Oryza sativa Japonica Group: one gene and its partners. The protein of the gene in region 1 binds, or shares a complex with, the protein of each later gene. Links are inferred from orthologs where the notes say so. Each region holds a gene or a part of one and is shown on either strand. Other genes may lie near its edges.

Region 1 (4,091 bases):
AACCTTCTGCTGTCCTAGAGACACTGGTAGAATGTTCTGTTGCTCTTGGGTCGGTAATGTTATCCCCAGAGAGAGAAAGGAAATCATTCCTATATTCTCAGGTTGCCAAAGCCCTAAACTGCAATGCTTCTGTTGATGAATCATCAGCATCTAATGTTGTGATGCTCTCTGGTTTCAGTATACCTAAGCTTGTCTTGCAGATTGTTACTGTTGAAACTTTATTGAGACTCCATAAGCCAAACAATGAGCTTGCTGTTTTGAAGGACATGGCATTCACTGTGTACAACAAGGCTCGCCGAATTCCAAAGGCCATTAGCACAAGTGACATGTTTCAGTCACCTGCGTACATGGGCAGGTCTCAGTCCACCATGATGCATGCTACATCTCCTGGTCCTACCCTTTGGAAAGAATGTTTAGTTCCTCGAATGTCTGGATCAACTCTCTCTAGAGAAACAGAGTTTGATGCATCCATGAGGTCATCAGTAACATGGGACAACTCATGGCCTGGTCGTGCTGGAGGATTCATGGACCCAAATAAGATCCCAGATGTATGTGTTCAAGATGACAGGAAGTATGCCTTTGAGCCACTTTTCATACTAGCAGAGCCTGGATCTGTCGATTACAGTAGTGGAATGGAATCTTCAAAATCTGGTGTTGATGCTAGTGGCAGTGGAATTTACAGCTCAATTTCAGGTGGTGGCTCTGATAGTGGAGCAAGTGCAAGTGCTTTACTGGAAGGATCTGATAACGACAATGCTGCAAGTCTTCATTGCTGTTATGGCTGGACTGAGGACTGGCGATGGTTAGTATGTATCTGGACAGATTCTAAGGGAGAGTTGTTGGACAGTTTAATATTTCCTTTTGGTGGTATTAGTAGTCGCCAAGACACGAAAGTTCTCCAAAGCCTTTTCATCCAAATTCTGCAGCACGGTTGCCAAATAATGTCATCTGCACCTGAGTCTAGCAATACAAGACCGAGAGATGTAATAATAACCCGTATTGGAGGTTTCCTTGAACTTGAAATCCAGGGTACTTAACACTTCTACCATAAATTCTGTAGTTTTTATTTCTTGACTATATCGTGTCATTATGGTATATATTTTTTTATGCAGAATGGCAAAAAGCAATTTACTCATTTGGTGGTAATGAAGTCAAGAAGTGGCCTGTGCAATTACGCCGATCTATACCTGAGGGTATTCCATCTAATTCTAATGGGCCAGCACTCCAGCAACAAGATATGGGCTTAATGCAAGACAGAAATATGCCATCCTCACCTAGCCCTTTGTACAGCCCTCATGCAAAATCTAGCTTCATGAAAGGTGCACTTGGGCAATCAGGCAACAAAAAGCAGATCCTAGTGGAACAAGCTGGAATGGACAGTTCAAAGGGTTCATTGCATTTGGTTCGCAGCATCAGTTTGGTTGCAATTTCCCAAGATCATTCGCTGCATCTCACATGCCAAGCGGATCTGTTGACCAGACCTACTCCTGGTAAGTAGTGCTTGTAACATCCTTATATATTCATCTACAAGTTTGTGGCTGTTTAATGTAGTGCTTATTTAATGCTGCTTCTTACAACAGTAGTAGTTACTTACGTCATGACCTTATCATCTATGACTTATGATCATAGTGCTACCTCCGTTCTCAAGAGAATGACGTCCTAGAATGCATACCGTGAAACCTTGAACTCTTAAATCATCAATAGATTAAAAATGTTAAGAATTGATATGTGAAAATGATATTAGTAGATTTCTCATGAAAAACTTTCATATGGTTATATTTTTTATAAGTTATATAAATATATATTAGAAAGCAATGATAACATATGTAAATTGGAGACTGTGTCGATGTCCAAAACATGAAACAAAAGAGAAACTGGGGTAGTACCTTTTCTTTTGGTTCATCCTACTAAAAACACATATATGAGCAAAAACAACCTGAATCAAATTAGCAGCTATTTTTTGAGTTTTGTTTCCTATCAATCCCTTTCATGTTCGGTTAAAATGCTCTTTTTTACAGGTGAAGGGAATCAAACAAGCAGTGGTCCTTCTAGTTACTTGGAAGGGTTTACTCCAGTGAAGTCTATTGGGTCAATGTCAGCATCATATCTCCTAGTTCCCTCACCAAGCATGCGATACCTTTCGCCAGCAACATTACAGCTTCCAACATGCCTTACATCAGAGTCTCCACCTCTTGCACACTTACTGCACAGCAAAGGGACAGCGATTCCCCTAGCAATGGGCTATGTAGTCTCCAAAGCCGTCCCACCGGTAAGAAAGGACTCCGCACGCCTTGCCAATGAGGACAGACCCTCCGTCCTCTCGGTTAGCATCATTGATCACTATGGAGGCAGCATTGCTGCTGTTCAAGAGAAGATGAGCCGAGGTTCTGGCAAGCAGACGAGGAACTTTACTCAGGAAGCAGCAGGTCGTGATCATGAGACGGAGATGCACAACGTGTTGGAAGCAGTGGCTGCCGAGCTCCACTCCCTTTCATGGATGACAGTGAGCCCGGTGTACATGGAGAGACGAAGCGCCCTGCCGTCCCACTGTGATATGGTCCTTCGCTTGAGGAGACTTCTGCATTACGCTGATCGGCATCTCTCCCAATCGACAGAGAAAGGAGATGTAGCTTAGAGACTACTAGAGAGGACAACTAATTCTCATGTAGCTTTCACCACAGGAAAAATAAGGGCTTAGATGATGCTGAAACCGTTGTCTGTATGTATATTAGGCAGGTAGATGAGGGTCACATTGACGAGCTCTCTAGCCCGATTTTGCCTTGTTAGTGGATTGAAGAGAATGCTAATTTCTTGGGCTGAGGATGTAATTACGTGCGCATCGACACCTCTCCCAGGGCCAGGACCAAGTTGTAATATTGTAGAGCTAACTGGTTTATAATTTGGTGGTATTTGTTATTGATGGGTTGGCTTAACCATTGGTTCCAAGAAAATCAATTGGTACAGATCGATGACGCTGTATTTAAACCCTCCATATCTAATTGTAAGTTGTCTTATGCTTCTCAACCTTTTTCTAAAATGTAAGTTATTAGAGCACTTATTTTTCTCAAATGAATGCTATTTGTGATTGTGAACCATCTTTTGCAGTATAGTATAAATGAAAGATAACAAAATTGTTTGCAATATTACTTTATTAGTCCTCATGCATAAATTTAAAGTGGCTATTTAGATTTTAGAATCAGAGGGAGTAAGCAAGAAGCTTACGCTTACGCTAGAGCTGGGATAGGGCTTAGTTTGGACCAACCTTTTTTCCCCCCGATTTAATGGAAGCAGCATACACACGGACACGATGCCACGTATACATACAAATGCAAAGAAAAACAGGACACCTCTGGCTGAACCTACTATAATTTCTTCGAACAAAGGAAGAAATCGCCTCCAAGCCGCTGCTGAAAGAACAGAAGAACCGACAGCAGTATTGCTCCACATGGTATGGCAATGTCCCATGCGAGGCTGAAGAGATCATCGCGAGGGTTTTCATACCTGGAAGATGGTCTCAAGCTGGGTACAAAATGTAAAATCATGTATGGCTCTTCCAATGTAAAATCCCGGGGAAAGTACCTTCACTTTGGAATTGGAGCCTGCGCCGTTTAAAATAACCTGAGGGAGCAATTAAGAACCCGTCGAGTATTAATCCCCCATGTGACACCATGATCCCGGCTAATGCACCAAGAAGGGAGCGTCCAAAAGCGGCACGGGGGCACCCAGGCAAGCTGCCTATGATACCTGTACAGCAAACTCTTCTATATATGATCTGTTCGTTCGACAGATGAACCGTTTGGACGGCTGCGATGATCAGGACGGCGTATACGTGACGATGTGACCTAACCTATAGCGAGCTATGTATGTATTTCGGCGCGAGCTTTGATGTAGCAGCGGCCGGCATACATTACCAAAAACATTTTCCCAGGCAGCCAAAATGACTCTATGCAGGCGATCAAACACGCTGATTGCAACTGAAGGCATGCAAAAATATGATATTTTTTCAGACGGACATCCGACTATCGAGAAAAATAGATTTTCGCAGGCGGGTCAATTAAGACACCCACCTTTGAAAATGTTAGCGTCAAATT
Region 2 (4,941 bases), on another chromosome or scaffold:
ATTCCATATGTCCTTGCCTGTTCACAAGCCAAATAATTTGTGCATTAAGCAGCGGCATACATTTTAAATTTTAAATTTAAAAAAGGTGAGGCCAGGCCACTAGGTACAATCGCATGTGGCTGATAGCTGTTAAGTTTAGTATAGTAACCCATTTTTGTAAATAGTAATAAACTTCGGGTATCTTGTCATGGGGACTAGGGGATGATCCGAAGGCTTGAAGCCTTCAACATAAGTACATACATCTAAAGAAGCACATGAATGAAGGGCGTTGGAATATTTCCGATGCATTCTGTGTAAAATCAAAATAAAATATGGATGCAACGAAAACAAGAACTGATCTAATACTTCAATTCCTACAAAAGCACTCCACACCTTGGAAGAATGTAATTATCATAGTAGAAGGATTAGAGAAAGCAAAGTGCAAAAGAAGAAACAAAAGAGGGAAAAAGGAGAAATAAGGGAAAAAGGGGAAAGAGGGAAACAACAGTACAAATTTAAAGGGGAAAGAGGGAAACAACAGTACAAATTTATCGGCCAAGAAAATTATCGTATATCGCAGGAAGAAATAACATGGTATAAATATTTAATCTGCATTCTGCAATGCACGGTTGATGAAATCTCACACATCAACAGAATATAAATAAGACAAATAAGCACATCATATTGTGGCAGCAAACATACAACACAACAATGATGGTAATGAAATTACCTAGTTCTGTCAACAGCTGATGCACCAGCCTGACCAGCCAGCTGACGCTTCCAAGCATATGCCACAACTGCACCATCTGGACAAACAAGTGGCATGTGCAAGCCCCATGAATTGCCTCTGGCTTTAAGGGCTCCATTTAGAACTCCAGACTCTTCCAATTGCCTTCCTAACAGCAATGGATACAAGATATTTATTAGGCTACAGTTTAAAAACTAGATCTTTACTTTCAGTTGGCTAGGCCAACACTTATGAAGAAATAGTGGAACTTGAAACTTGAAGTTCAATAAAAATAATTGGAACTTACCAGGAGAACTGTGTAAGCAATGATTGATGGTTCATCACAAAGTAAAAACATCATGAATAGCAACAAGCACAACTAACCCAAACACTATAACAAGAATACTGTGAAAGAACAATAAGAAAGCACCAGCAAAATCGAGTGAATCCATCCTGTTCACATACCTAACTTTATTGAAGATGGCTCCTAATATCCTTTGACTTAAAAAAATCTCAGTCACATGGCTTAAGCTTATCTAGTACTCCTAACTTCAGGATTTTCACAAACTAACTATTCTGTCTAAAATCATAACTATATCACCTGCAAATTTCATCTTCCGTTTATCTAGCAACTTCAGGTTGCAGAAAGACTCAAAAACCATCGTTTAACAAGCAGTTCATATTGCTTGGACATTTTATTCATCAGACAGAATAGTACCATGTTGCCATGAAACATGGATTTTCCAAATGCCTGCAGACTTCTTCAACAAACGACTGGTCAAGTGGTCACATGTAAACAATTGTACCCAACACATAACTGCTCTGCTGAGACAATATTATAGAGTGAGCACCTACCCTACATCCTTACCATCCACGAGTGATACTAAAACTAGTTCGAGCCCTGAGTGGCACTAAGGTGGTGTTTGGATCCAGGGACTAAATTTTAGTCCCTGTCACATCGCATGTTTGGATACTAATTAGAAGTATTTAACGTAGACTAATAATAAAATTAATTGCATAAATGAGAGCTAATTCGCGAGACAATTTTTTTAAACCTAATTAATCCATAATTAGCACATGTGTACTGTAGCATCACATAGGCTAATCATGGATTAATTAGGCTCAATAGATTTGTCTCGCGAATTAATTCAAGGTTATGAAATGGATTTTTTCATTAATCTACGTTTAATACTTCTAATTAGTGTTAAACATCTGATGTGACCGGGACTAAAATTTTAGTCCCTGATCCAAACAGCCCCAAAACAAGTTCAAGCTGAAGCTGTTCAATTAAGGTTAAATATTGCTCTATTACAAGCCAAGGAACACGAGTTCCAGAAATGCATCCCAATCTGATAGACCCAGGCACCCAGCCAATATTCTAGAATGCTAAAGTTCATATACCAAAGTTGAGCAGTTAAGCCTGTCCGTGCATCTCTCGTAGCAAGGTTTCATAGGTAGAAGGGTTTCACAAGATACAAGCAATTGGATAACACCAAAGAAGAGTGTGGCATCAGTTTATGGTGATTAACCATTATTACAGAACAATTTAGTGGAAAAAAAATGTGCTGCCATGCCTAAACTGGGAAGGAGATTATTACTTTAAAAAAAGTCCAATCATACAATCCAAAGAAGTTAAATCAATATCCCAGCCACCAATTTCCAGAAATTATCTAGACAAGGGTTTTCCTTTTTCTTCTTGAGACTGCAACCGTGGTATCATGACGGGAATATTTCTTTTTCATTTTGAGACTGCAACCGTGGTATCATGACGGGAATGTTCCTTTTTCATTTTGAGACTGCAACCGTGGAATCATGACGGGAATGGTTCTTCTCGGAGGGAATTAGTTGTATTTTGCGACGTAACAGTCAAAGGTTAAGGAATCGATGAAAAACTTCTGAATCGGAGAGTGTGGGGGCACGGGGCGGAGATGGGTTTACCTCCCGAGCGCGCGGAGGTCGTCGAAGTGGCGGTGCATGGCGGCCTCCTCCTGGGCGACGGCGAGCGCGGTCTTCTCAACGTGCTGCGGGGCGCTGTGCGGGGGCGCGTCGCCGGCGACGAAGAGCGCCTCGAGCAGACGGTCCGCGCCCAGCCGGATGTCCGCGATGAGCCGCCCCGCCCGCCCCAGCCGCTCCATCGCCTGCGCCACCTGCTTCGGCGGCGCGTCACCCCTCGCCCCCTCGTGCTGGTGCCCCGTCGCCCCCGCCGCCGCCGCCGCCGCCGCCGCCACCGGCGCGGCCACCACCGCCGACGCCTGCGCTTGCTGCATCTTCCTCTTCTCCCCTTCTCGCTTCCGACTCGAAACGCCTCACCTAAATAAGCCCATATCCAAACAGGCCCAGAACCAATACAAGCCCATATCTATTCAGGCCCAGATCCAAACAAGCTCGTATCCAAATTCGGCCCACGCCATCGGCTTCCAACGTTTCGAACGTTTGCGCTTCGCTTCCCACGCGGCGGCGGCGCCACCACCACCACCCTCCGCCATGCCGCTCGCCGGCGGCGAGCCCCGACCACCACCGCCGCTCCCGTCGCTGGTCAAGCTCGGAAGGGCCGTCACGCCGCGCCGCGTGGACATCCTACTGGCGGCGCTCCTCCGCCGGCGGAGGCACCGCCTCGTCGGCGCGCTCGCCTCGCAGGCGGTCGCCAACTCCGTGCGCCCCACCGCGCGCACCCACCTCCTGGTCGCCTCGGCGCTTCTAGATTCTTCCCGTCCGCGCGACGCGGCAGCGCGCCTCGCGCTCGCCGGCCCGGCAACCTCCTCCGCGCGCCGCCTCTGGGACGCGCTGCTCCGCCGGGCCTGCGCGGTGCGCGGCGATGCTCGCCGCGCGCTGGAGGTGCTCTCCGCCGGCGTAGAGGAGTGCGGGCTCGTGTTTTCTCCGTCCACGTATCGTGTGGCCCTGACGATGCTGTGTGCCCGCGGTGACATGGAGACCGCGCTCAAGGTGTTCGACGTAATGGCTGCAGCGGGGTGTCAGGTGGATGATCGTGTTTGCAGCGTGATCATTTCAGGCTTCTCCAAGGTCGGGAAGGCTGGGGATGGGCTGGAATTCTATAGGAGGGTGAGGAGAGAGTTCAATGGATTTGAGCCAGGCTTGATCACATTAACCGCTTTTGTCGATGTGCTTGGCCGTGTAGGGAGAACTACTGAGGCAGCACAATTGGTAAGGGAGATGGAAGGGAAGGGGTTGGTTGGTGATGCTGTTTTATATGGCAGCTTGGTTCATGGATACATGAGTAGCGGGTTATTGATGAAAGGGCTCCGTGAGCATCGGGTGATGTTAGATAAGGGCATTGCAGCTGATGTAGTTAGTTATACTACTGTTATTGATGGACTTTGCAGAGAACGTAGTGTGGAAAAAGTGATGGGATTCTTGGATGAGATGAACCGAAGGGATGCTAAGCCGAATTTGATCACTTATACATCATTGATTGGTGGTTTCTGCAAGAGAAACAGGTTGGATGATGCTTTTTCTATAGTGAGGAAACTGGAACAGACAGGAGTGGTGGTGGATGAATATGTTTACTCAATTTTGATTGACAATTTGTGCAAAAAGGGATATTTGGATAGGGCTTTCTCTTTGCTTGAAGAGATGGATAAAAAGGGGATAAAGATTGGAATCGTAACATACAATTCAGTAATAAATGGTCTATGTAAGGTTGGTCACACCAAGAAGGCTGTTGAAATATATGAAGGTATTGCTGCTGATAACTTCACATATAGCACGCTGTTACATGGTCACATTAAGGTAGAAGATGCAACTGGTGTAATGGCAATAAAAGGTAGGCTTGAGAGCAGCGGTGTTACAATTGATGTTGTCACATGCAATGTACTTATCAAAGCATTATTTATGATTAAGAAGGTGGATGATGCCTGCAGCTTGTTTCTTAGAATGCCCGAGATGAGATTAAGGCCTAATATTGTCACATATCATACAGTTATTGACATGATGTGTAAACTTGGAGAAACTGACAGGGCACTGCAGTTGTTTGATGATTACAAAGAAGACATCTTGTTCTCCTCTACAATAGTACACAATTGCCTGATTATAGCATTGTGTAATGGAGGAAAGGTAAACATGGCTGAGCAGATTTTTAATGATCTTATCCAAAGAAATTTAAGGCCTGATTCCTGTACTTACAAGAAGTTGATCCATACACACTTTAAAGAAGGCGGTGAACATGGCGTGCTGAATTTCATTCTTAAGGTGGATGGATCTGAAATTGACTTATTTTC
Region 3 (4,766 bases), on another chromosome or scaffold:
GTGCAGGCAGGAAGCAGGAATCGAACACATGACCTGCGTAGTCACCAGCCATCGCGCATGACCTTTGCTTAATTACATACAAGTTATTTATTTTACATCTTATAAGATAGTTACAGTGTAATTGCACTTCAAATTACATTAATTACGTTTTGAAAGTCTTCTATCTAAAACACTATCGAATGTTATATAGCTCTTTTCGAAAAAAAAAATCCAATTTGACTCCTTCAACCATAGGTTAACCTGATTTGTATCAATTAACCCAAAGTAGGATATATTGACCCCTCAACTATTAAAACTGTTATAAAACAACTTCCTCGAGTGTTTTGAGGACGATATTCGCTGGCGTGGCTTGTTGACCTGATCTAACCGACTGAATTAGCATGTGGGGCCTAGATGTCAGCGTCCCCTCCTCCCTCTTTTACTTTTATCTTCTTTCTTCCCTATCCTTTCCCTACATGGTGATGAGCTCTAGTTGGGAAGGCGGTCGGTAGAACAAGGGAAGACGATAGGGATGCCACTGAGCATCTGACGAAGGTGACTCTTCCCAATTCCCATTCCACCCCCTTCCTGGGATCAGGAGAGGACACCGACCACCGCTCTTCGGTACGGTGGAGCAAACGAAGTGTCGTCTAAGAGGTGGCTAGAGACGGGCGGGAGACGTTGGACTCCAGCAATCGAGGACACACATGTCGACATTTCCTATCTCTGGAGAAGCTTCATCAAGATCGAGCTCGCTTGCCTCATTGGATTTGCCTCGTTGCCCTCACCAAGAACGGTAGCGGAACAAGGTTGCCACGCCCACCAAGGATAGGGGGCATGTGCTCGCCATTGCCTACAGCTTGAGTCTGTCATTAAGGTCAACGACATGGACGACGTGCTCCAGCGAGCCATCGAGGATGACCTCCCCCTCGGTGGCAATGATGACTACAAGAGCTCGTCGACATCTACCCCTTGTCCTCCGACGGGTGGTGGCTATCCCTTGGCCATGCAGAGATATGCACGTGACCCTCCTCTCTCTCTCCCTCACTATTGCCATGTATGGCTCCACAACATATAAAGGAGAAGGACTCTTAGATCTCGATGACAGCGAGGTCAATCACCATCCTTGTCCATTGCTAGGCCTTATTAACCGAGGCGTTGATAGAGGTGAAGGTGGGAAAAGGACGTCGGATTAGAGGAGGCGACAGAGAGAAGGGGAAGTGGCTTGAGGCTCGGATCTGTGAAGGAGAAACACTGATGGGACCCGGCTTTGTCCAGATCAGTGAGGGGCCTCGGTGTGGCAACCGTTGGAGCCCACAATGAAGAGGACATCTACGGCAGCACTGGGCCTCTCCGACTCTCCATCACCGCTGTGGCCCTTCCCTCCTTTGCTCCACAAGGTTGCCAACAGAACCAAGCTTAGTTGGTTGTGTCGGTGGTGGCTTTGTCGTCTAAGTCACTGACACTATTCATGCTTGAGCTCGTCACCGCGTGGAGAAAGGAGAGGGAAGAAAAGAAAAAACAAAAGCATGAGGAGAAAGAGAAGGGGACGACATGTGGGTCCCACATGCTGACTTAATCGGTTAGACCAGTTCAATGAGCCACGTTAACGAAAACCACCCTCAAAATAACTAAAAAGAGTTTTTTTATTCACCGGTGTTAATAGCCGAGGGTTCGATATACACGGTTTGCGATTAAGGGAGAACGAATCAGATTGGACCTATAGTCGAGGGAGACAAATTGGACTTATTCCGCTCAAATACTAGGGCCCTGATAAGGCCAGGCCTGGGCTTCGAGCTTCGGCCCAAAATCAACATATCCTTTGGGCTTTTGGACTATGTTGGGCTCTGAAGCTAAGCTTAGTTCACTTCACAGCCAGCGCCGACGAGAGGAGGAGCAGATCGGCTAGGGTTCCGGCGATGGCCTCCTCGGCGGCGGCGCGGCGGCGGCAGGAGATGGCGGCGGAGGGGCAGCGCCACCTGGAGGAGACCATCGCCGCCGCGTTCCAGATCCTCTCCTCCATGAACGACGAGCTCTGCAACCCCACGCTCTGGTCCTCCTCCTCCGCCGCCGCCGCCGCGGCGGGCGGCGCCGGCGGACTCCAGCACCACGGCAACAACCACCACCACCACCACCAGCACCACCACCACCACGGCGGTCTCCCTCCGCCGCCGCCGCCGCTGCACTCCGCGGACTCCGACGCCGCCGACGCCGCCGGGGGAGGGCCCGGGGGCGCGCCGGGCTCCGGCGGGTCGCTCGACGAGGCCAGGCACCGGTACAAGGTCGCCATGGCGGCGCTCCGCACGTCCATCGCCGCCGTGTCGTCCTGTGCTCAGGTCAGCACACGAATTTACCCGACATTGCATGCTCCCGTAGTATGTATGCAACCACGAAATGCGTGTTTCTAGTGATCGTCTAGTGGAAATTGTGAAACGTATTGCACTCTTTGTTGATATCAAGTTAGGTGCTTATACATAGGTAAGGGAGCCAAATAATTTTTGCAAAAGAAAATTTCTTATTATTGATACCAATGTAAGGGAATGTAAGGGATGTTGTGATGTAGGTTCGGACTACATGGATGTGGACTATATATATGTTTCAATCAACATGAGCTTTTAGTGTTCAATGTTCATGAGACAAAAATAGTAGTTTTATATGATTCTATTTTTAGCAGTAAGTGTAATCCTGATGTGCAAAATATGGTGCTATGGAGAAACCTCATAACAGTTTACTTCTTTGTAATGATGTTGTGGTTTTCTTCGTAGGAGATGGGATCGACAGAACACAAAGCTGATCAAGCTGAGATTGAGAGATTGGAAGAACATGCATCTGCTTTGAGAAAGGTACTATCTTGGGAATGTTCTAGCAATATAATCAATATCATTTTGCTGTATTCAGAATTTTTCCCTGAACCAGTTGGTAACTGGTGCTTATTTAGCCATGTCAATCCCAAATATTTCCCAAACAACCTGTTTTGAACATAATGTGTGTGTGTGTGTGTGTGTGTATATATATATATATATATATATATATATATATATATATATATATATATATATATATATATATATATATATATATATATATATATATATATATATATATATATATATATATATATATATATATATATATATATATATATATATATGTTCCTTTTATGCTTCAATCATTTTAATTCAAAAAGTCCTGAGAAGAGTGTAATCCCCAATTTTTACCTGAAACCATTTTAGATAGCCAGGATCTAGTTTGGCAAGCTGTGATACTGTGTTGCTTGTAGTGTTTTGGATAGTCATGTTCATTCTGTTGAACTCGTCAAAAAAGCGTTCCATCTTGATCTTTCCTGGCAATATTCATGCTTGTTAAGTTGTTATCTTATCATTGTTTTTTCTGCACTGGATACTGCATGTCATTATTGTTTGCATACTTGGATTTGCCTGCTAGTTTAGAACTTACTCCCTCCGTCCCAAAATAAATAAACATAGTATGGAATGTGACACACCCTAATACTAGGAATCTGGATAGGGGTCTGTTACTAGGTTTGTTATTTTGGGACAGAGGGAGTAAGTTTTTGCAAATCCACCTTTGATGCTAATTGGATTCTGGACTATTTAGCAAATCCTTTTCATCCTTTGGAGGGCTGTTGGCTGTAATGGCCTTGTAAGTCTCAACTACTCCTTATCTATGCTAGATCATTATAGCATAAATACAGATTATTCTCCTTGATGTGTATAAATGTGTATAGAAAAATGGATTTGTGGCTTATTCAGTTCCATTTGTATGATTTATTGAGATCAGTGATTTTCATGTACTCCTATGTTTGAAGTGTAGCAAACCATAGTTATTAAGACCGGACCGGTGATCGAACTGTTAGGGTACTCGGTTCACTGGTTTATTGGTCGGACCAGTCAAACCGCCGGTTTAAAGCGGTTCAAATAGATGTGTGTTAGAATACTAGAACAACATGTGACATAGCCGGCTGAGACTCTCCGTGGAAGCAAGGAGGTCTTGGTTCGATCTTCAGTTCAGCAGGTTTTTTCCTATTTTCTCTAACTCCACGTGACACCCTCCAGCAGTCGAACCACCTTCGGTTTTTGTCTGGTTCTGCAGAAAACCGCCCGGTTCAATGGGTTTTTGCCGGTCTGTTTGCTCAACGATCTTTTAGCTGGACTGGACCAGCCAACGCCCTGGTTCCCTTTTTTTCTGATCGGACCACTGGTCTGGTCTAGTTCTAATAACTATGTAGCAAACAGTGTTCTCTAATGCCTCGATTACATAGTTTGTTCCTAAAAAGTTCAAAGCATTTCATTTTAAACATACACTGGTCAGTACAATCTCAATTAGCTGATCCCATGTGTCCTAGTTCAGATTTCTATATATGCCCGTGGTATCATGGTCTGTGGAAGTTTTGAGTCCTCACGCTTTTGACATATATAATACATTTTTTGTTTCAACCTAGTAATGTGGCATACTGTTCTCTGGTACCGTAAACCAGTCTAATACAGGATGTTTACTGCAGGAAATTGAAAGCAAAAACAAGCATGTAAAGCTCCTTATCGACCAACTCCATGATTTAATATCGGACATATCAATGTGGCAGAGTCCTTGCTCAGTGTGAAAACTCATCGGCATTTATCCTTTAGGAATCCAAAAATCATAGCTAGAAGTATGTTAATGCAAAATTGTATCAGCTGACCTTGAGAGAGAAATCTGAAGGGATACAATCAGTTTGCAAATACAATATTGTAATGATTTTTCTTTCAAGTATTCAGAAAGTGTACTATGAG
Region 4 (4,853 bases), on another chromosome or scaffold:
ACCAAGAAATGCATCCACAGGTGTCGTCCGGGTCAACATTCGCCACCAGGCCAAGCGTTTCACCTTGCTCAAGATCAAAGTAAAGGCACAGGAAATCTCTAGTCACATTCATACCGAGAACCAATGCTTCTTCATGAAGCCAGTGGATTACTTGACTAGCAACCTGAACAGAAAAAACAGTGAGCACATCATTCTGACAAAATAGACTTAAAAAGCAATTGTTGTGACATGGGTAATATTCATGGGCAGCACAGTATTACTTGGAAACAAATCCTTATGATGATCCACTTGGATTAAATTAAATAGCCCATCAAGACAACCAAAGTTGAACAATGACAGGTCTATCAAAGCATAAACATCTTGCTCCCTTTCTCGCACTGTATTCAGTGCTTTCAGTTTTATATTACATGAATGGCCACTGCCTTCCAGACCTCTTATGTGGGACAATATTAACCTAAAAAAATGTGGAAGCATGGCAAGGCACTAGAATGTTTGTACTGGTGTCCTGTTCAACTCAACATGCATGCCACATTCATTTTGAACTGTTAAGCAAACTAATCCTGTAGGTCAATAGGCACAAATGAAGATTTCCTCAGGGAAAAAAACTAAGAAAAATGCATTACCATTGTGCATTTCACATTCAAATGCAAGGAGTTTATGTTACACATTTGCAATGCAAGAAATAGTCTGGCTCATTGCATTATCAATGGACCATAATGAATTCCAATGGTAATAACTTTAATAATTTCATAAACATGATCTACCAAGAAATAATTTAAATAGTATCATCAGAAGTTTACCTGCTGCAGAAGCATTGTTGGGAGGTCCTCCAAGTCACAATTGTAGCTATTTACCAAATATCCATCGGAGGGCTTCCCAGTCAATGATCCAGCAATGCTTGGGGAGCCTTCACCCATTAGACTAATTTGGCTATCTTTCACGATCACCTTAGTATTGAACTGTGACCTGGATTTGTACTTAAGTTCATGGTTATCAGAAGGCTTTGCAATCCGATCTGCAGCAAGGATAGGCTGAGGAACTTTCAAGCATAGAGACCAGGAGGAAGTTCGAGAATGCCAAGTAGGAAGAGAACGCAAATGGAGATATGGAACCCTGCTGACCTGCAATACAGAAAGGAAATTTAAATAATGATCTACATGCAAATATGTAGCATCAACAAGCTTATAGGAGCTATACCACACTCTCAAGCTCCACGAGTACTTTGTTAGAAAATATCCTGTGAGCCACTGTCAAGCAGAAATGACCTAGCAGGCCATAATCATCACCTGCAACCTGAGCAGGACTTTGGTAGCGACCAATGTTAAGGGATTTCTCCCTGACCTTCCTAAGAATGTTCTCATGAAACAATTGTAGCAAGTAAATTTCCAGACTTCTGGGATTAGGAAACCCTGTCACGTCTTTTCTTAAAGGGTCCAGCTTCCCATTCATAGTGACCAACACAAGATTTGAGGCATCCTCTGAATTGGCATGGTCTTCATGGTCTACCATTTCTGAGTCACTACCATCTCCAGAATGAGCAAGCGAGAGGCACAATGAACATTCCTGACCAATAGCTAATTGGAGAAAATCTTCACGCATTCCAGTCACATTGATGCCTTGAGATTGGACAAATGTCTCACGGATCACCATATCAAATACCTACAAAGGCATACACTAAGCTAAGCCACAGAACGATATACATAAATAAATAATGATAAACCCGGGGAGGGAGGGGTGGTGGTGGTGCAAGATGTCATCACATGATATACAATAATTTTCCATGATGCTATAGTTAAAACTTAATTAAGAGCATTCTATACAGGAATTCTTAGCATGCCAAGCAAACACTTAGCTGACCTGCTCCTCAAATATTGACTTGTGGATGTTGCGAAGAATAGAATGTGCATGTTTGATGGATTTATTGACATCATCATTGTCTGTTTCAGAGGAAGTGATGCTTGAGATGCCATCTTTCAGTTTATGACCGTAGTTTTCCACACCATTGGCACTGTCCCCTCGAAAATTAAGACTCAAGAAACGGCAAGATTTTTGAGGGACTTGTACGGACAAAGTGCCTGATGAGTCTTGGTCAATTGGAATCAATGGTAATGATGACAGTCGAGGCATTGCTGCTGTGTCCAATTGAGAAGTGTCGATCAGATCAAACATGAAGCCCTCACTTCCTGGACCACTTCCACCAAACCGTTGCCGCTTCACTTTCCAGTTCTGCTGCAATCTGCCACCAATCCGCGAGTAATTCATGGTGCAAACTTGGGTGAAGTGGTATTGAAATAACAACTCAAGTTAAGCAACAAGACATGCCTGATTAATGAGCCATAGAACCTAGACTCTTTTTGGAACTGCTGCTCCATTGTTTTGGCAGATTGTTTGAAGTAGCGTGACAAATGCTGCGAGGACACAAATGAAGATCACAACAGGAAGCATGATAGATGCAAGACGGAAGAGGAAAGTGGCAAGCGATTACAGAAACAAATTGAGTTTGTTTTAGGTTCCATTTTGTTCCTTAGCCGTGAATTGAAGTAATCAAACATAGGCAGTAGGGTGACATACCCGAACGCGCTGAAGCTTGGTGGCTGCAGAGACTGCGGTGTCAACTAAGGTTTCGGTTGGCAGCGATTTGGGCTTGAGCATCCCAGCGACTGCCACTGCATCATTGGCTTCGACCTGCATTATCAAGTAGGATTGTCTCCTCTGTCAGGAATACAAACAATCGCATGCAAATAGAATGGGGTTTGCAGTATTGTGTGTGGGAAAACTGACAGTGGAGATGAGGTCAATGACGACGGAGAGCTCCTGCTGCGCCTGCTGCAGGCTCTCCATCATGCCCTGCCACGGCCATGCCTGCTGCTGCTGCTGCTGGGCGGTGTCCTTCTTGGGCTTCTTGGCGTCCTTGTCGATGACCCAGGAGAAGTCGATGCGGCGGATGGCGGAGAGGCGCTGCTCCTCGCTGCTGGTGTCGCTGCGGAATCCGAATCTCAGTGAACGGAGAGAGGTGGGGGTTAGGGTTTCAGGGGAAGGGAAGAGGTTGGTTTGGTTTGGTGCTTACGGCGGGTAGTGCTCGTTGCCGGCCTCGTCGATGGCGTGGAGGCGCTTGATGGGGAGCTTGTCGAGGTCCACCCGCACGGCTTCCTCCATGGCGAAGGCGAGGCAGCGGCGGCGGAGGGCTTAATTAGATCGGAGACAATTTTTTGAGTGAAGGAGGCACTGCCTTGGGGCTCACGAGTCCCGCTCAAGAGCGGAAGGGATCCCCCCGCGGGAAGCAGAAGCGGCGGCCGGCGGGGTGGGGGCGGCCGCCGGCGAGGTCGTCGGGCGGCGGAGTGAGGAGGAGCGAATTCTCGATCGAGTTTGGGTGCTGGACTTTGGAGTTTCTTCTCTGGAAGAGAGTATGATGGGCCTTTTTTGACTTTGGGCCGGCCTAACAAGTAAATGTTGCTGGGCTGGCCTGGACCAGTTCCAGACTTCCACTACTCCGAATGGGCCGGAGTTTCTTTTTTTATTTTCCATTTCTCAAGGCCCCTCGGGAGCAGGAATTATCTCCTAGCAATGGTAAAACGAAGGCTTATATCAGAGAGCTTTTTCTTATCAATGCCTACAAGACAACAAGGCCTGTTCTTCTGTTGTTCGTCCATGGATCACAAGTTTCAGGGAACAAAACTCTCTTTGGTGCCGGTGGCAATGATATTCCAAACTCAACCGCAAGTTGTGATCAATCTGCAACGTATCAGGGACGACGGATATTTCACAAAATAAGTAGTAGTATGTCGATTCTTCAGTCCAGCTTCTGAATTCCAGGCCTTTTGAAGTTGAGCAAGCAAGTAAATTCAGATAATCTCTCTGCAAACCAACTATACAGTGAGTGACTGAATTTCTACTTGCGCGGATCGATGTGCCAGAGCATTGCCAATCACAGAAACAAGTTGCAGATGAGATTGTCATACTAGCTTACAATCAATGCCACCATCCGCTCAAAACTCACAGCAATCAATCACAACCTGAAGAAACAATGAGGACAAACCACTGTCCACCGGATCGAGTTGGCAAAACCTGGACGACCAAGGGGGTTCGGAGAATAAAACTCCGACCCCTATTCATGAAAAAGAAAAGCACCGCAAACAATTCGTATCATAATTCTTGCAGGTAACACCGTAACACCATAAGTTTGAGAGAAATGCGCCAAATACAACAAATTTGGCGATTTGTTTGTTTTCTCTTTTTCAAAGGTAGCATATAGATTTGCCTTGATAATAGTATCAACAGATGCAGCGCTATAACCATATATACTCCATTTCTTCTCCATTCCCTTGCTTCATTGATTTATGACATACTCAGAAAGACTAAAATAAGCATCAATTTCACACTTCACAGGCCTGTTGTTCACAACTACTGAGCTGCTGTGTTATTGTATTGCTACTAATCAATACCAGCATCTCTTTAGAAAAATCATTAGCGATACACAGCTTACATTTTATTGGATATCACTGTCATTGTATCACATCCACTCCTCCCAGATCAACATATGCAATCATCATGCCTATGCCAGTTTTTTGCATGGTAAATTCTACTACTACCAGTGGCCCAGTGCCATGTGATGTCAACCCCAACAGCTTTGTATATTATTACCCCTTATTATAAACGCATCATACTCACTATTGGGGGGAAAACATGATTTTTCATGCTGCTGCGAGAGGGCTAGAAGAAAGAAGTTGCAGTCTTAATATATCACACACGCAGCATGAGAGCAGTGACATAATAACGGCTACGGACTACCATTCACAATAGTTTCAATCGTTGCTGCCGAAATCGTCAAAACATCTAATTTATCATTAGCTCGA
Region 5 (4,789 bases), on another chromosome or scaffold:
GGCTCGTGTTTGGGCCCATCGCCTGACCTTCCCTTCTTTTGGGTTGGGTTTCTTTGGATTTATTTTTAAGATGGGCTTGTTGTTTTATCGACTTATTTGTTGCGAATAAAATCTTACCGTGCCGTATCATCAATTTCATAGGTCATGACTCTGCTGCATCTATTGGAAAAAAAACATATTTATATTGTATAAACAAAGAAAACATGCGTAGTTAGGATGGGCTATCGACGATCACGACAACAATGATAATAACCTAAATAGAGAGCTAGAGATTCTTATAAAGATTCTTATAAGACGCTTGTGATTAGTCGGCTGATGATAATCTGAAAGGGTTAAGTTTCAAGTTTCTAGCTCCAAGTTCATAATCTCAATTTTTATGTACATATATGTGCTAGCACACTACAATTTCTATATGTACATAAAAATCGAGACAATGATGTAATGAAAGTTGTGGCCTAGAGAGATATCATTTAAAGTAAAATGATGGAATAATACAATTTAATTAAAGATTCGATACATAAACAATTGATGAAATTTGTAACCGAGGGAGATAAATTTTAACTGAAATTGTCAAACTATAAATCTGACGAAAGATTCATTCAAATTCCCAAAAAGGCATACATTCACTCATTTTATCTGCCTTGGTGCCAAATTTAACGAAATTTATGTACCCAGTTTCAAATAAATAGACGACTATCCCCATTTTCTTACAAGTTACAATCCACCGCAAGACCACAACACCAAGATTACCCGCCTCCATGCCAATTTCAATGAAATTCGTGTATCCAATTTTAAATAGACAGACAACACTCTTTATTTCGTTACAAGTTAGTACATCTAGGTACTATACAAGAGTAATATTGGAGTGTGTAAAAAACTGCCGTAGATTTTTTAAGTGTAAAACTTCGAGATTAAATTATATTATAATTGAAGTATAGTTGTACTGTAACTGTATTGTAACTACGGTATAACTTATATAAAACATGTATTTAACCGTGGTTTGGCTGACTAGCACCGAGATCTTGCACATAACATGTATGATATTTTTGTAGCAATGTTATCTCTTGAATGTACAAATCTCCAGTAACCCGATGACCATAAATCTGAAAGTTTTGAGAGAAAAAGGGTGTGTTTAGTTCACGCTAAAATTAGAAGTTTGGTTGAAATTGAAACGATGTGACAGAAAAGTTAGAAGTTTGTATGTGTAGGAAAGTTTTGATGCGATGGAAAGTTAAAAATTTTTTTAAAAAAGTTTGGAACTAAACTCCACGGAACTTGCAAAAGTTTTCTAGCAATTTCGATCCAAAATTCAACGGAATTCGTACATACCCAGAGCTCACCACTCCCGAAACGCCACCAAAAGACCAAACCCACTCGTTTCCCCTCCCCCCCTCCCTCTGACTCTCTCCCCGTCGTCGTCATCGTCATCGTCGTTCGTCGTCGTCGTCTCCCCTTTCCACGGCCGCATCCCATTCCCCACCCAACCTGAAAGCGACGCCGCCGCAGCGCACACGCAGGAGGCAGCAGCAAAGCGAGGAGGGGAGGAAACCCTCCCCCCGCGACAGCAACGGGCGGTCGCTTCCAGTGACCTAAGCCTCCCCCTCCCCCCCTCGCGCGCGCTTCCCTCCCCTTCGCCTTTTTGTCTCCTCCGCCCCTTATGACCTCTTCCTCCGCCCCAAACCCTAGCCCCCTCGTCCCCACCCCCACCCCCTCTCCCCCCACCGCCAACGCCGCCGCCGCCGCCGCCGGAGCCGTGCCCGTCTCCTCGCCGACGCCGCCGCCCAAGGATCAGCAGCAGGAGGGCCAGGGGGGTGGAGGAGGAGTGGGGGATGGGGGTGGAGTGGAGGAGGTGGGCGTAGGGGGAGGCGAGGCCATGGAGGTGGATGGTGGCGCGGGAGGTGGTGGTGGGGGGGTTGGGGATGTGGAGGGGGGTGGGGGTGGTGGTGGTGCGGGGGGAGGAGGAGGTGGAGGTGGAGGTGGGCAGCAGGCGTCGCCGGCGACCGTGTTCCGGATCCGGCTCAAGCAGCCGCCCTCGAGCCTCCGCCACAAGATGCGCGTGCCCGAGCTCTGCAGGAACTTCAGGTGCGTTTCGAGATTAGTTGTGGTTTTTTTGGGGGTGTTTTTTCTTTCTGGGATTTAAATATGTTGGGGGAAGCTTAGGTGTGATGAATTTAAACCCTGATCTGTTTCAGCTTATTCATCGATTTATTGAAATGGTTTTTTTCCCCCCGAAAGAAATTTTCCTCTACTGTATTGCTTAGACCACTTGTTTTAAGCTATTTGTTAAGTTTGTCTCTCAAAATATCTAATTTATCCCTATAATATATCCATGACAATAATCCACTCAATAATCTAAATCAAACGATCTGGGTTTACTTTTTTTTTCCTCTTCAAATTTGGGTGGCGTTTCAATGATTGGGATGAACAATCTAGTGACTCAAACTTGCAGAAGCATTAGCGTGGGCATGGAATTGTGATTGCTTTGAATGATTGTATCCTGTGCAGGCTTCTACTATACTAGATCAAATACAGTTATAACATGTAGTGTCATTATTTCACATAACTAAGTTTAGTCAGGTCAAACTGGTTACTTTGTTCACCAGTTAGAAAATACCGAACGTGATAACTCCATTTTTAAAATCCACATTATTTTTTTTTGTTTAAAACTGCTTTGATCTTGTAGGATGAGGTTGCCTTGTCTGCTTTAGCCTACACTATATCGGGAACAACTAGTAACTATCTTATCTATGGTTTTTTTTTTATTGCAGTGCAGTTGCTTGGTGCGGGAAGCTCAATGCAATTGCATGCGCATCAGAGACTTGTGCACGCATACCAAGGTATACATTTTTCCATCCTTTCCCTGAAAATTTACTTTCCTCTGACCTTTAGTTATCCATAAATAAGTTTGTTCTGTTAGCTTGTCTTAGTGGGATATTCAACCATTTGGTAGAATTGTTTGCTTACAGTTTCTGGTTATGAAGGTTTCTTTGCCGTAAAACGATCTAATGTATATTTTCAGCTCTAATTCAAGCCCACCATTTTGGATTCCCATACACATTCTAAATCCAGAGAGACCAACAGAATGTTCTGTTTTCAATGTGAAAGCAGGTAATCCATGGCTAAATCTCAATTGTTTTGGTAATGTGATTACGTTATGCATGTGCAAATCACTGTCCATTGGGCATTTTATAGTCAGGTGAAGGGTGAGATTCAAACTCACTTTTGTTTATATACGAGTTTTTCTACCTCCAATCCTAACTCACTGTAATTTTGAACAGATTCTCCACGCGACTTTGTTCAATTCATTGAATGGTCTCCTCGATCATGCCCTCGTGCATTACTGGTGGCAAATTTTCATGGAAGGATTACTATATGGACACAGCCAACTAAGGTACATCTCTACCTTAAGCAAATTTCGGTATGCATATCATTTTTTTTTGTTAGTAGTACCATTGAACTTACTTTGTTAATTTGCGAAACACTCAGGATTTTCTTTTTTCATTTCAAGTCTATATACATATCATGCTGTTTTGTGTTTTTTCTCTAATACTTGTTTCTTTCTTGATATGGTGAAGGGTCCTACTAATCTTGTACGTGATGCCAGTTCCTGGCAATGTGAACACGAATGGCGTCAAGATCTTTCGGTGGTGACTAAGTGGTTGTCAGGAATTTCTCCGGTTTGTTGCCAATTTGCAAACTTACAGTCTGCTTCTCTTGTTTTTGATAATTAGCACTTTACACTTGGAATGCAAATATGCAATACGATTGACCCAGCAGTTTATACAGTCCGCTTCACAATTTAACATTCGAGATTTATATACTTTTCAGTGTCAATTGTTAATCATTATTTTTTTAAAATATAATATTTTATAAAGCAGTGACAATAGACTTGAGTTTAAACTGTTCTAAGATTTTTTCACTGGACATTTATCATAAACAATTGCAACAATTAGGTAAAAAAGATTCTGGCTCAGTTTATGTCTGAGTAAGTACTTTGATCTATTTCAAATGACACTACCTGTGTTTGATTACCCTTTTGGCCTGAAATAAGTGGATCTTAGAATCGAAGGAATATAATTACTAAGCTGTTGCCACGGCTAAATTTGTTTTGTTTCTTTGACTTTGCAGTATAGATGGCTTCCTGCAAACTCTAGTACTTCATCAAACTTGAAAACCTTTGAGGAAAAGTTCCTTACCCAGCAGCCTCAAAGTTCGGGTTGGTTAAACACATATATTACTGAGCATATATTTTTTTTGGAGGAGAAAGCAAGCATGCTTCTTTACGCTACTCTGACATATTGCTGTTTACTGCAGCTGGGTGGCCAAACATTCTATGTGTCTGTTCAGTTTTTTCATCGGGTTCTGTTCAGCTTCATTGGTCACAATGGCCTTCTCAAAACTCAGCACAACCTAGATGGTTTTCTACTAGCAAAGGGCTTTTAGGAGCAGGGCCAAGCGGCATAATGGCTGCTGATGCTATTATTACTGAAACTGGAGCATTACATGTTGCTGGTGTTCCCCTTGTTAATCCATCTACTGTAGTGGTTTGGGAGGTGATGCCAGGCCTTGGCAATGGTATTCAGGCAACTGCAAAGATAAATGCAACAAGCTCTCTTCCTCCATCACTAAATCCCCCACTCTGGGCTGGTTTTGCTCCACTTGCATCTTACCTCTTCTCTTTGCAAGACTACCTTGTTTCCGAGGGCGCACAGACAAAAAAACAGGCACAGGTAGATAATGAGACCACTGAGGTAGCATCGATCCATTGTTGTCCAGTTTCCAACTTTTC
Region 6 (4,217 bases), on another chromosome or scaffold:
AGGGACGGTGAGGGACTTTGTACTGATGATAATCCTTGTGAAACACCATTTGCAACAGGTGTTACATGCGAGAAAGCAGGTGCAGAAACCATGGGCGGTAAAGTTGTTGGCTCCTGAAAGTGATGATTGTTTTCACAATGAGAAAACATACAGCAAAATGGTAAGTCACAGAGTATGTTGTTCAAAGCTTTACCGTTTTAATATTTGCAACAACACCATTTGGTTGGCGGGTAAGCATAGGTCCATTAACTGAAAAATACTTATAACAGTTAGTCATGTTCAGTATGGAAGATAGTAATGATACGGATATAACCAGAAGCCAAAAACAAATTTCTATATAAGGCAATTCCAGATTTATCACAACTGGATCATGCAAATAAAACCAGCAATTGGCTAGACTTGAAATATGTTCCACTTTAATTAGGTAGATGGGCAATCTGGCATATATTAGTACATAGCAATGTACAATACAAACAATAAGAATTTGGCATTTCATAACATTAAACTGTAAAATTTTATTTATGAAACAAACAATGAAGGGGCTTCATCAACACTCACAAAAACAACAAATTATGTATATCCACGAATACCTTTAAAACCACATTGCTGTGTATAAAAACAGGAATTGCGATATATTTGTATCCTCAGTGTTAATTTTGATTAAGATGCTGAAAAACAAAACTTGTTATCCATATAGAATTCATCAATCCGAAGACACCATGCCATTGAAAGCATTATCACTCAGAGTCCAAACAATTAGTTGTGACCCCATGCCAATGATAACCATGAAGACACAATCATTATAGAATAATCTATGTTTTCTTGGCACTACAATTGAAAAACCACCCAGATGGGAAGGGGACAAATAGAACACAATGGTACAAGCTTTTAGGAGGCAGGTTTTCACGTTTGTGTATTCAGTACATCCATTTTTCTTCATCTCCAGCTCAAGGCATCTGTACTTGACAAATTGGAGATAAACTATAGGAAATTATATTGTAGTCCCATGTAATGTCAGATGCACAAGCACATCGTGTTCATAATAGAGGAGAGCTCACAATACATTTTATTCCTCTAAGGCTTTGAAAACTCAATGATATGCTTTTTTCGGGCCAAAAATGGATGGCATAAGGGCATTGCCAGAATCCTTCCTGCTATTAAAATAGTCAGGCGTACCAATATATGCAACGATAATTGTTAACCTATGTTGCTTCAGCCCATGGAGTAATTATGGCAATGGTTTATTTCACTTTAGCCTAACATTTTTTTCCTTAACAAAGCTGTGTCAAGCATTTGTTAAAGCAGACTCACGCTAGACTATGTGTAAGCACCTACATATTCACAAACATCGTAACAACGTCACAACCTTTCGTCCAAAAGAGGAACAGAACTAAAGGCTAAATACCATGGCAAGACTAAGCCAAATGTTAGCATTTGTTCAACCTGAGGGGTTGCCATTTGAAGTTGGTACTGGCACAGATGTTGCAGCTGTATCCATTTTTGTAATGGGGTGATTTGTGACCAAGTTGCCAGGTAAAGGGCGACTTAGAGCAGTTCGAGCCTCCAAAAAATTGTCAGACAACAAAACAAGAAAATGTGGATTTTTTGCATGATCCACTGATGGGTCAGCCGCTCGAGGATTCCTCTTTGCCTGCAACAAAACATGGACAACATCAGCACCTGGTGCAAATTATTCATCAGTACAAACTGTCGAAGGTCTTGCAGAAGATAAAATTTATATCATGTAAGTTAAAAAATGCTTGTATTAAACTAATGATAGATAAGGATGCCAATTCATAGATTTATAGTCTGTAAACCATACAAAGACTAGCTAGCAAGTTCAGGCAGGATACTAACTAATTAAAAAAATGAAATAAATGGATATTTTTCTTATCCACAAATAAGATACAATGACAGTACAATCCAAACTGAGTTCATTTTTATTTGAGTAAATTTCACTTAACCTTTAGGTGTTGTGGTCTAAGTTGCACAAAACCACATGGGTTTTGGCACGTGACACTTAACCACCAGGTATTATAGCTATAAAGTTTCACACAACCACACTATTGATCATTTATAAAATCACATCACAAATTTATGAGTTTTTTATCCATCATATAAATGTTACATGAATGTAACTAAAACTTTTAAAACTTTGATATAGGAGTATGTAAAATTGGTTAACGGTGTGGTCTTGTTAAACCTTAGGGCCATAATACATGGGGTTATGTGTCATGTGCCAAAATCCCTGTGGTTTTGTGCAACTTGGACCATAATAGGTGGTGTTTGATAAAATTTACTCTTTTTATTTCAATGGTAATGAAAATATGAAGTTTAGTACTGTGTACAAGTACAAGAACATATGTAATAGTGGAGCGGCCAGTTCTGCAAGTTCATGCTTATAATTTATTTTAAAAGATATATTCTTAAGTGAGTTTTTCAACCCTCTGTAAATCAAGATGCAACTATCATACCATCAATGAACAAGTAAAATACCAGGAGAAGATTATTAAAGATGGCTTGTGGCTTACAGAATTTAGCAAAACAAAATAACGAAATTACCGCATTGTATATTGCTTTCAGAGTTGGAAGCTGTTTAGGAGATACCACCGACAATGAAACGGAGCACTACATCAATATAAGTAAAATTAATTAGAACCAACAATGACTGCTGACCACTTCATTGAAACACAGGTAATCAGCAATATGCTAGATATCAGTATTTGTGTAGGACCTGAGCAAATGATTTTGCAACAGTCTCAGCATCAGCAAGACAAGATTCTTTTGCTCCATCATTGTTCTCCTTGTGATCGCTACTTTGAACAAGGGGGCGGTAGACAGGCGTAGGCAGTGGATAAGGATTACTTGCTGCAACAAGTATGCAATGTTTTTGTACTTCATGGCTTTGATGATTCTGACTGTTACTAGAACTGCCTTGGAGTATCTAGTTGCACACAGGAAATAAAATCATAAAGGCAATAAATACTTTAATTCATAGAGAACTCAAGAAATAAAATGATATCAAATTCAAAGACCCAAGTATTTTTCAACTAGTTATAGGCTCATGCTGTCATGCATTGCAATGGTTTTTTTTATTAAGTTTAGTGGGAGGATTTGGGCCCAGTGAGCTGTTCGGTGTTTATACAATGGTTGGCTTTATTAGTAAACAGTTTTTTTTAGGGTGGACAGTTTTTATGGAGGAAAGAGGCTTTTATGTGGAGGTGGAGGAGGACGATTCCCTCTTTATAATAGTAGGGATGAAGACTGAAATTTTGATTTTTGAAGACTCAGTACCATAGGAAAATTAACATACTAATATAGGTACATTCATAGAATTTAAACTTCTGATCATACTAGTTTCACTCTGCTTATTCTGGGTACTGGCCCAGACATCCAGTTTCCTAATAGGGTTGATCTAATGAAAATCTTCCTTACAAAAATTAACCTAATGAAATGGTGATTACAGTTATACACTCTATTTACTAAGGTAAGGCTATCTGTAGCTGATATCCAGATCAAGACATTTTTTATGAGACAATAGCTGATAAGTGGATGTGCAAACCACCTTAGAATTTTCTCACATGAATCATATGTTGTGCAGAAGGGCATTAAAGGACAGATTCTAGAGAATACTGGAAATAACAATACCAAGACAACAAGCTATAATTCTTGGAAAATAAAGTAATCCAAAAGGTTGGGTAGAACATGTATTGTTAAGTATCATGGTTCTACATAATGTCCAGGCTCAACTAATAGTTTACAGGGCTTACTATGAGAAACAAAATTGTAGATCAACTAATTTAGACAAAACTGGACCCAAATTCAGGTGCAGTGAGAGATGAAAAGAGGTATTTCCCTTCATCTAGGAAATCAAAATATCTCTGTTAATAAGATACCAAACTCTGCCTTTGCTTCAGCATAGCTGGTCCTAACGCTGAGTAAAGGAAGAATGTTGCGATAACATTGGTAAGCCATCATAAAAATCCCAGTCGTTCCTGTGGAGATGAATTATGGTTTTGGATAGAGTTGCATGGAAATTGGCGGTCCACATGCCCAGAATCATGACCTAATTCACGTCTTCTTTAACTATATTGTTATTACTAGTACTATACTTCCCTTAGTTTTTTTGTGGCTGCACATCAGTTTCATCTCTAGCCTACCCCAACTTGCCTGGAACTAAAGGTTGCTACTGTTGATGTTAACATGAAAGATGTGCC
Region 7 (3,182 bases), on another chromosome or scaffold:
GATTGAGGTGAATTAATGCAGCAGCTTCAGTTGATCATTTCCAAAATTTCTTGTTATCTCCTTACATCTCTTCATATTCCATTTGAGGAAACTTTGCTGCTAATGCTTGTGATAGAGTATGAGTGCTCAGAGCAATTTTGGTATAGAGCAGTGAATTACTACTATGATATCGACAATAAAAGAAGAGCATATGCTACAAACATTGAATTGTTTGGCCAAAATTGGCAGCTAATTCTAAAGGCGCAAAAATGTACGATAGAGAATTATATGAGGAAACTAGTAGCTAATAACCAATATCACTTTCCAGTATAACTGGGTTTCACAAACCATGAGCAATCTCCCAGAGTTTATTATCACAAATTGTGCCTTTTGTGGCTGCTTAGTTATTCTTCAATAAAATGTTGTTCATTAAAAAATCAGAAGGAAAAGCATTCACATTGTGGCGGACGCAAGATTAGCAAAACATCCAGAGTAGGTACTTGAAAGTTGAAGGAACTTATACAGTTATATGCTAGTTGAGTAGTATATATGAAATTGTTCATTTTTTCCTGGGACCTCAGGTTTACTACCTTACCTTAGTACGATGCACGAACATTATGTGAGCGAGCTACAAATCAGAACTAAAACCTACTGGAAGGAAGTCCGTTACACAATTAGTCACTTAACAAAAGCAATAGGACAAAATTAAATCAGTTACTAAGCGTGATCTGGCCACGACACTAAGAAAACGGTTAATTTCTCCCAAATTTTAACATCAGTAGGCATAAAGTAACAATGCTGAGAAAATCACAAGCTCAATTTTTTTTAGAATATCGATCACAAGCTCTAATGCTTCAATTCTTAGACGATTACACAGAGATACCACCAGTAATTTGTTTTCTTTGGAAGAAAATACTACTAGTACAAGATAATTGAGCAAAATAAATACCTACTGGGCGCCGTCCTCGGGGAAGCGCGTGTCGACCCCGCCGTGGCCGTGCTGCCCCGCAACGCCGGAAGCCGCAGCCGCGGCGCCGCCCCCGCCGCCGGGACCCGCGGCGGAGGCACCTCCGGCGCCGTGCTGGAGCTCGATGACGAGCCAGCGGACGGCCTTGCTCATCTGCTCGAGGCGGACGGCGCTGATGGGCTTGATGCCGGGGGCGGCCAGCGCCGCGGAGGAGGAGGAGGAGGCGCCGGTGGCCTCGTCGACGAGGCACTCGGAACCGATTCGCTGGCGGATCGACTCGACGAGCTCCTCCGCGTGGTCGCAGGCGACGCGGAAGAGCTCCCACCGCTGCTTGAACGCCTCGAGCGCCGCGTCCGTGGCCGCGTTCTTCTCTCCCCCCGACTGCCCCCGCGCCTCCACCACCGCCGCCGCCGCCGCCACGAACTCCTGGTACGCCTCGCTCAGCTCGTCCACCGTCGCCTCCATCTCCCCTCGCCGCCGGCGGCTTCTCCCCGACACGCTCCACCGCCTCCGCCGCCTAGATTCCCCACCAACTTGACCTCTACTCGTCACAGTGTCAAACTCCCAAACCAGTAGCGTCAAAAAAAAAAAAATTCCTCGTGGGCCGCAGATTCGCGGCCCACTTTAAAATGGGCCGTCTCGTGCTGTATCTTCTTACTGGGCCGCACGTTAAAACTTGGGCTGGGACGCGAGGCGAGGGTTTTTCTCGAGGGATAAATATGGGCCTCGCCGCTCGCCGGAGCGGCGGTGGCTTCCCCCTCGCCGACGGCGAGGCGGGCGACCCCGGTGGGATCCTGTGAGCCGGCGACGGCTTCCCCCAACTCCCGCCTCGCCGCGCGCCGATGTTGCCGTCTCCCTGCGCGATTCCGCCGCCGCCGCGATGTATTTATTCGGTGTTCGCCATTTCTAGTCAATCGTCAAAGGTGATTTGACTGTACCACGATGATTTAATTTCATATGCAGTACTGGTGATGATGAGATGTTTGCTTGTTGTCAATTTTGTTCGCCTCAAATTTCATATGCTATTATTGCTGAATCGTCACTACCCGTAGGTTGTTTCTCCCGTTCATATGGAGTAACTGAAATATGAGGCCGAGATCTTTAGATTAGATCACCAGATAGACTGATGGCTCTATCACTGGCACACAATCGATGCACTACATCTTTTTTTTATTAGAAATGAAAGGCAGGGAATTTGTGGTGAGCAATGGGGGTGAAGGATGTGAGAAAGGTAGAGTCTTACATTAATTCATAACATGTCCCTGTTCCCAGCAAATTTTGCCGTGTTGTACTGGCATGGCATGACAGCGTACCAAATGACTTTCCTCAGATAATCCATTCACTGCGACTTGGTAGTTGAGTGTTGCGTTGTCTTCCGATAGTCTCAGTCAAGAGTCAACCTTTTTACCTGGTTAAACTGGAATCTTATTCTTTAATGCTAATACGCAGTGTGTTCCCTCTTTTAGTTGTCCAAAGTGGGAAACGCAAACTGGTAGATAGAAGTATCTCTTAGTTCCATCTTCAAGGCCTTACCAGTTGCATGCATGAGTATGATGCTCAGGCAGAAAACTCTGTTTAGAGACAAGGTTTATGTTGCTCTCCCTGAGCAACCCACCGATGGCAAGTCCATACTGTCTTGGGTTATCGATCATGCATCCAGTAGCACGGAGATCATCATCATCCACATAATTACTACATCGAACTTTGGTTAGTTATGTGCAGTGGCTTTATCTAAAGTTATTTTTCTCGATGTCAATAAAGGAGGTGATATAGTCATATAGCTATCTTATGATGTTTGTACCATAATCTTTAGCTTCTGGCTTTCTGCCATATTCTGGTTTATTTCCTCTAACCATTACTTCTTGTTTCTATTGTGTTTTCGGTTGCATAATCCTTAGCAAAGTTCTATTGTCTTAGTTGATTCCTTTTTTGCTGAAGAAAGCCGGATGCAAAATGTGGACAACTATCTGGACCAGTGCTCAAGAAAAAAGGTGCAAGATAATGATATTTTATTTTGTTTTCTGAAAAGTTCATGTAAAAAATATTTTTATTCACTCTCCCCACAAAGACTTCTATGAGTAAATAACTAATTATAGAACATAAGGAAAAAAAAAGTAACACCAAGCAAGAGTGAAAATGGTTATTTTTTTACTTGATATGTCCAAATACTGATTGTTCATATATTATAACTGAAGATAGTTCTTATAGTAGTATTATCATTGCACAACCAAAGCCA

The links.
Region 2: mediator of RNA polymerase II transcription subunit 13 (region 1) and mediator of RNA polymerase II transcription subunit 27 share a complex: the UniProt entries of both Arabidopsis thaliana proteins name them as parts of the mediator complex. The link is inferred for Oryza sativa Japonica Group from reciprocal best matches to the Arabidopsis thaliana genes GCT and AT3G09180.
Region 3: mediator of RNA polymerase II transcription subunit 13 (region 1) and mediator of RNA polymerase II transcription subunit 30 share a complex: the UniProt entries of both Arabidopsis thaliana proteins name them as parts of the mediator complex. The link is inferred for Oryza sativa Japonica Group from reciprocal best matches to the Arabidopsis thaliana genes GCT and AT5G63480.
Region 4: mediator of RNA polymerase II transcription subunit 13 (region 1) and mediator of RNA polymerase II transcription subunit 17 share a complex: the UniProt entries of both Arabidopsis thaliana proteins name them as parts of the mediator complex. The link is inferred for Oryza sativa Japonica Group from reciprocal best matches to the Arabidopsis thaliana genes GCT and AT5G20170.
Region 5: mediator of RNA polymerase II transcription subunit 13 (region 1) and mediator of RNA polymerase II transcription subunit 16 share a complex: the UniProt entries of both Arabidopsis thaliana proteins name them as parts of the mediator complex. The link is inferred for Oryza sativa Japonica Group from reciprocal best matches to the Arabidopsis thaliana genes GCT and SFR6.
Region 6: mediator of RNA polymerase II transcription subunit 13 (region 1) and mediator of RNA polymerase II transcription subunit 25 share a complex: the UniProt entries of both Arabidopsis thaliana proteins name them as parts of the mediator complex. The link is inferred for Oryza sativa Japonica Group from reciprocal best matches to the Arabidopsis thaliana genes GCT and PFT1.
Region 7: mediator of RNA polymerase II transcription subunit 13 (region 1) and mediator of RNA polymerase II transcription subunit 32 share a complex: the UniProt entries of both Arabidopsis thaliana proteins name them as parts of the mediator complex. The link is inferred for Oryza sativa Japonica Group from reciprocal best matches to the Arabidopsis thaliana genes GCT and MED32.

The regions. Positions count from the first base shown.
Region 1 is NC_089039.1:22,053,587-22,057,677, reverse strand, and holds the end of mediator of RNA polymerase II transcription subunit 13, read left to right. Parts: coding exon 1-1,029; intron 1,030-1,112; coding exon 1,113-1,490; intron 1,491-2,018; coding exon 2,019-2,635; 3' UTR 2,636-3,024; downstream 3,025-4,091. UniProt on the Arabidopsis thaliana protein: Component of the Mediator complex, a coactivator involved in the regulated transcription of nearly all RNA polymerase II-dependent genes.
Region 2 is NC_089035.1:8,936,009-8,940,949, reverse strand, and holds the start of mediator of RNA polymerase II transcription subunit 27, read right to left. Parts: upstream 2,999-4,941; 5' UTR 2,974-2,998; coding exon 2,645-2,973; intron 872-2,644; coding exon 710-871; intron 1-709. Other genes in the region: pentatricopeptide repeat-containing protein At5g57250, mitochondrial, read left to right, coding at 3,191-4,941. UniProt on the Arabidopsis thaliana protein: Component of the Mediator complex, a coactivator involved in the regulated transcription of nearly all RNA polymerase II-dependent genes.
Region 3 is NC_089038.1:19,469,176-19,473,941, reverse strand, and holds the start of mediator of RNA polymerase II transcription subunit 30, read left to right. Parts: upstream 1-1,828; 5' UTR 1,829-1,898; coding exon 1,899-2,315; intron 2,316-2,744; coding exon 2,745-2,822; intron 2,823-4,498; coding exon 4,499-4,597; 3' UTR 4,598-4,766. UniProt on the Arabidopsis thaliana protein: Component of the Mediator complex, a coactivator involved in the regulated transcription of nearly all RNA polymerase II-dependent genes.
Region 4 is NC_089046.1:28,095,735-28,100,587, reverse strand, and holds the start of mediator of RNA polymerase II transcription subunit 17, read right to left. Parts: upstream 3,363-4,853; 5' UTR 3,157-3,362; coding exon 3,068-3,156; intron 2,981-3,067; coding exon 2,782-2,980; intron 2,686-2,781; coding exon 2,572-2,685; intron 2,409-2,571; coding exon 2,323-2,408; intron 2,237-2,322; coding exon 1,858-2,236; intron 1,660-1,857; coding exon 1,198-1,659; intron 1,122-1,197; coding exon 801-1,121; intron 164-800; coding exon 1-163. UniProt on the Arabidopsis thaliana protein: Component of the Mediator complex, a coactivator involved in the regulated transcription of nearly all RNA polymerase II-dependent genes.
Region 5 is NC_089044.1:19,707,087-19,711,875, forward strand, and holds the start of mediator of RNA polymerase II transcription subunit 16, read left to right. Parts: upstream 1-1,399; 5' UTR 1,400-1,657; coding exon 1,658-2,082; intron 2,083-2,768; coding exon 2,769-2,837; intron 2,838-3,019; coding exon 3,020-3,108; intron 3,109-3,278; coding exon 3,279-3,391; intron 3,392-3,575; coding exon 3,576-3,677; intron 3,678-4,128; coding exon 4,129-4,216; intron 4,217-4,314; coding exon 4,315-4,789. UniProt on the Arabidopsis thaliana protein: Component of the Mediator complex, a coactivator involved in the regulated transcription of nearly all RNA polymerase II-dependent genes.
Region 6 is NC_089043.1:12,248,153-12,252,369, reverse strand, and holds part of mediator of RNA polymerase II transcription subunit 25, read right to left. Parts: intron 2,945-4,217; coding exon 2,735-2,944; intron 2,629-2,734; coding exon 2,563-2,628; intron 1,652-2,562; coding exon 1,444-1,651; intron 250-1,443; coding exon 194-249; intron 114-193; coding exon 1-113. UniProt on the Arabidopsis thaliana protein: Component of the Mediator complex, a coactivator involved in the regulated transcription of nearly all RNA polymerase II-dependent genes.
Region 7 is NC_089044.1:22,150,583-22,153,764, reverse strand, and holds mediator of RNA polymerase II transcription subunit 32, read right to left. Parts: upstream 1,502-3,182; 5' UTR 1,412-1,501; coding exon 929-1,411; 3' UTR 776-928; downstream 1-775. Other genes in the region: U-box domain-containing protein 70-like, read left to right, coding at 2,491-2,653, 2,864-2,937. UniProt on the Arabidopsis thaliana protein: Component of the Mediator complex, a coactivator involved in the regulated transcription of nearly all RNA polymerase II-dependent genes.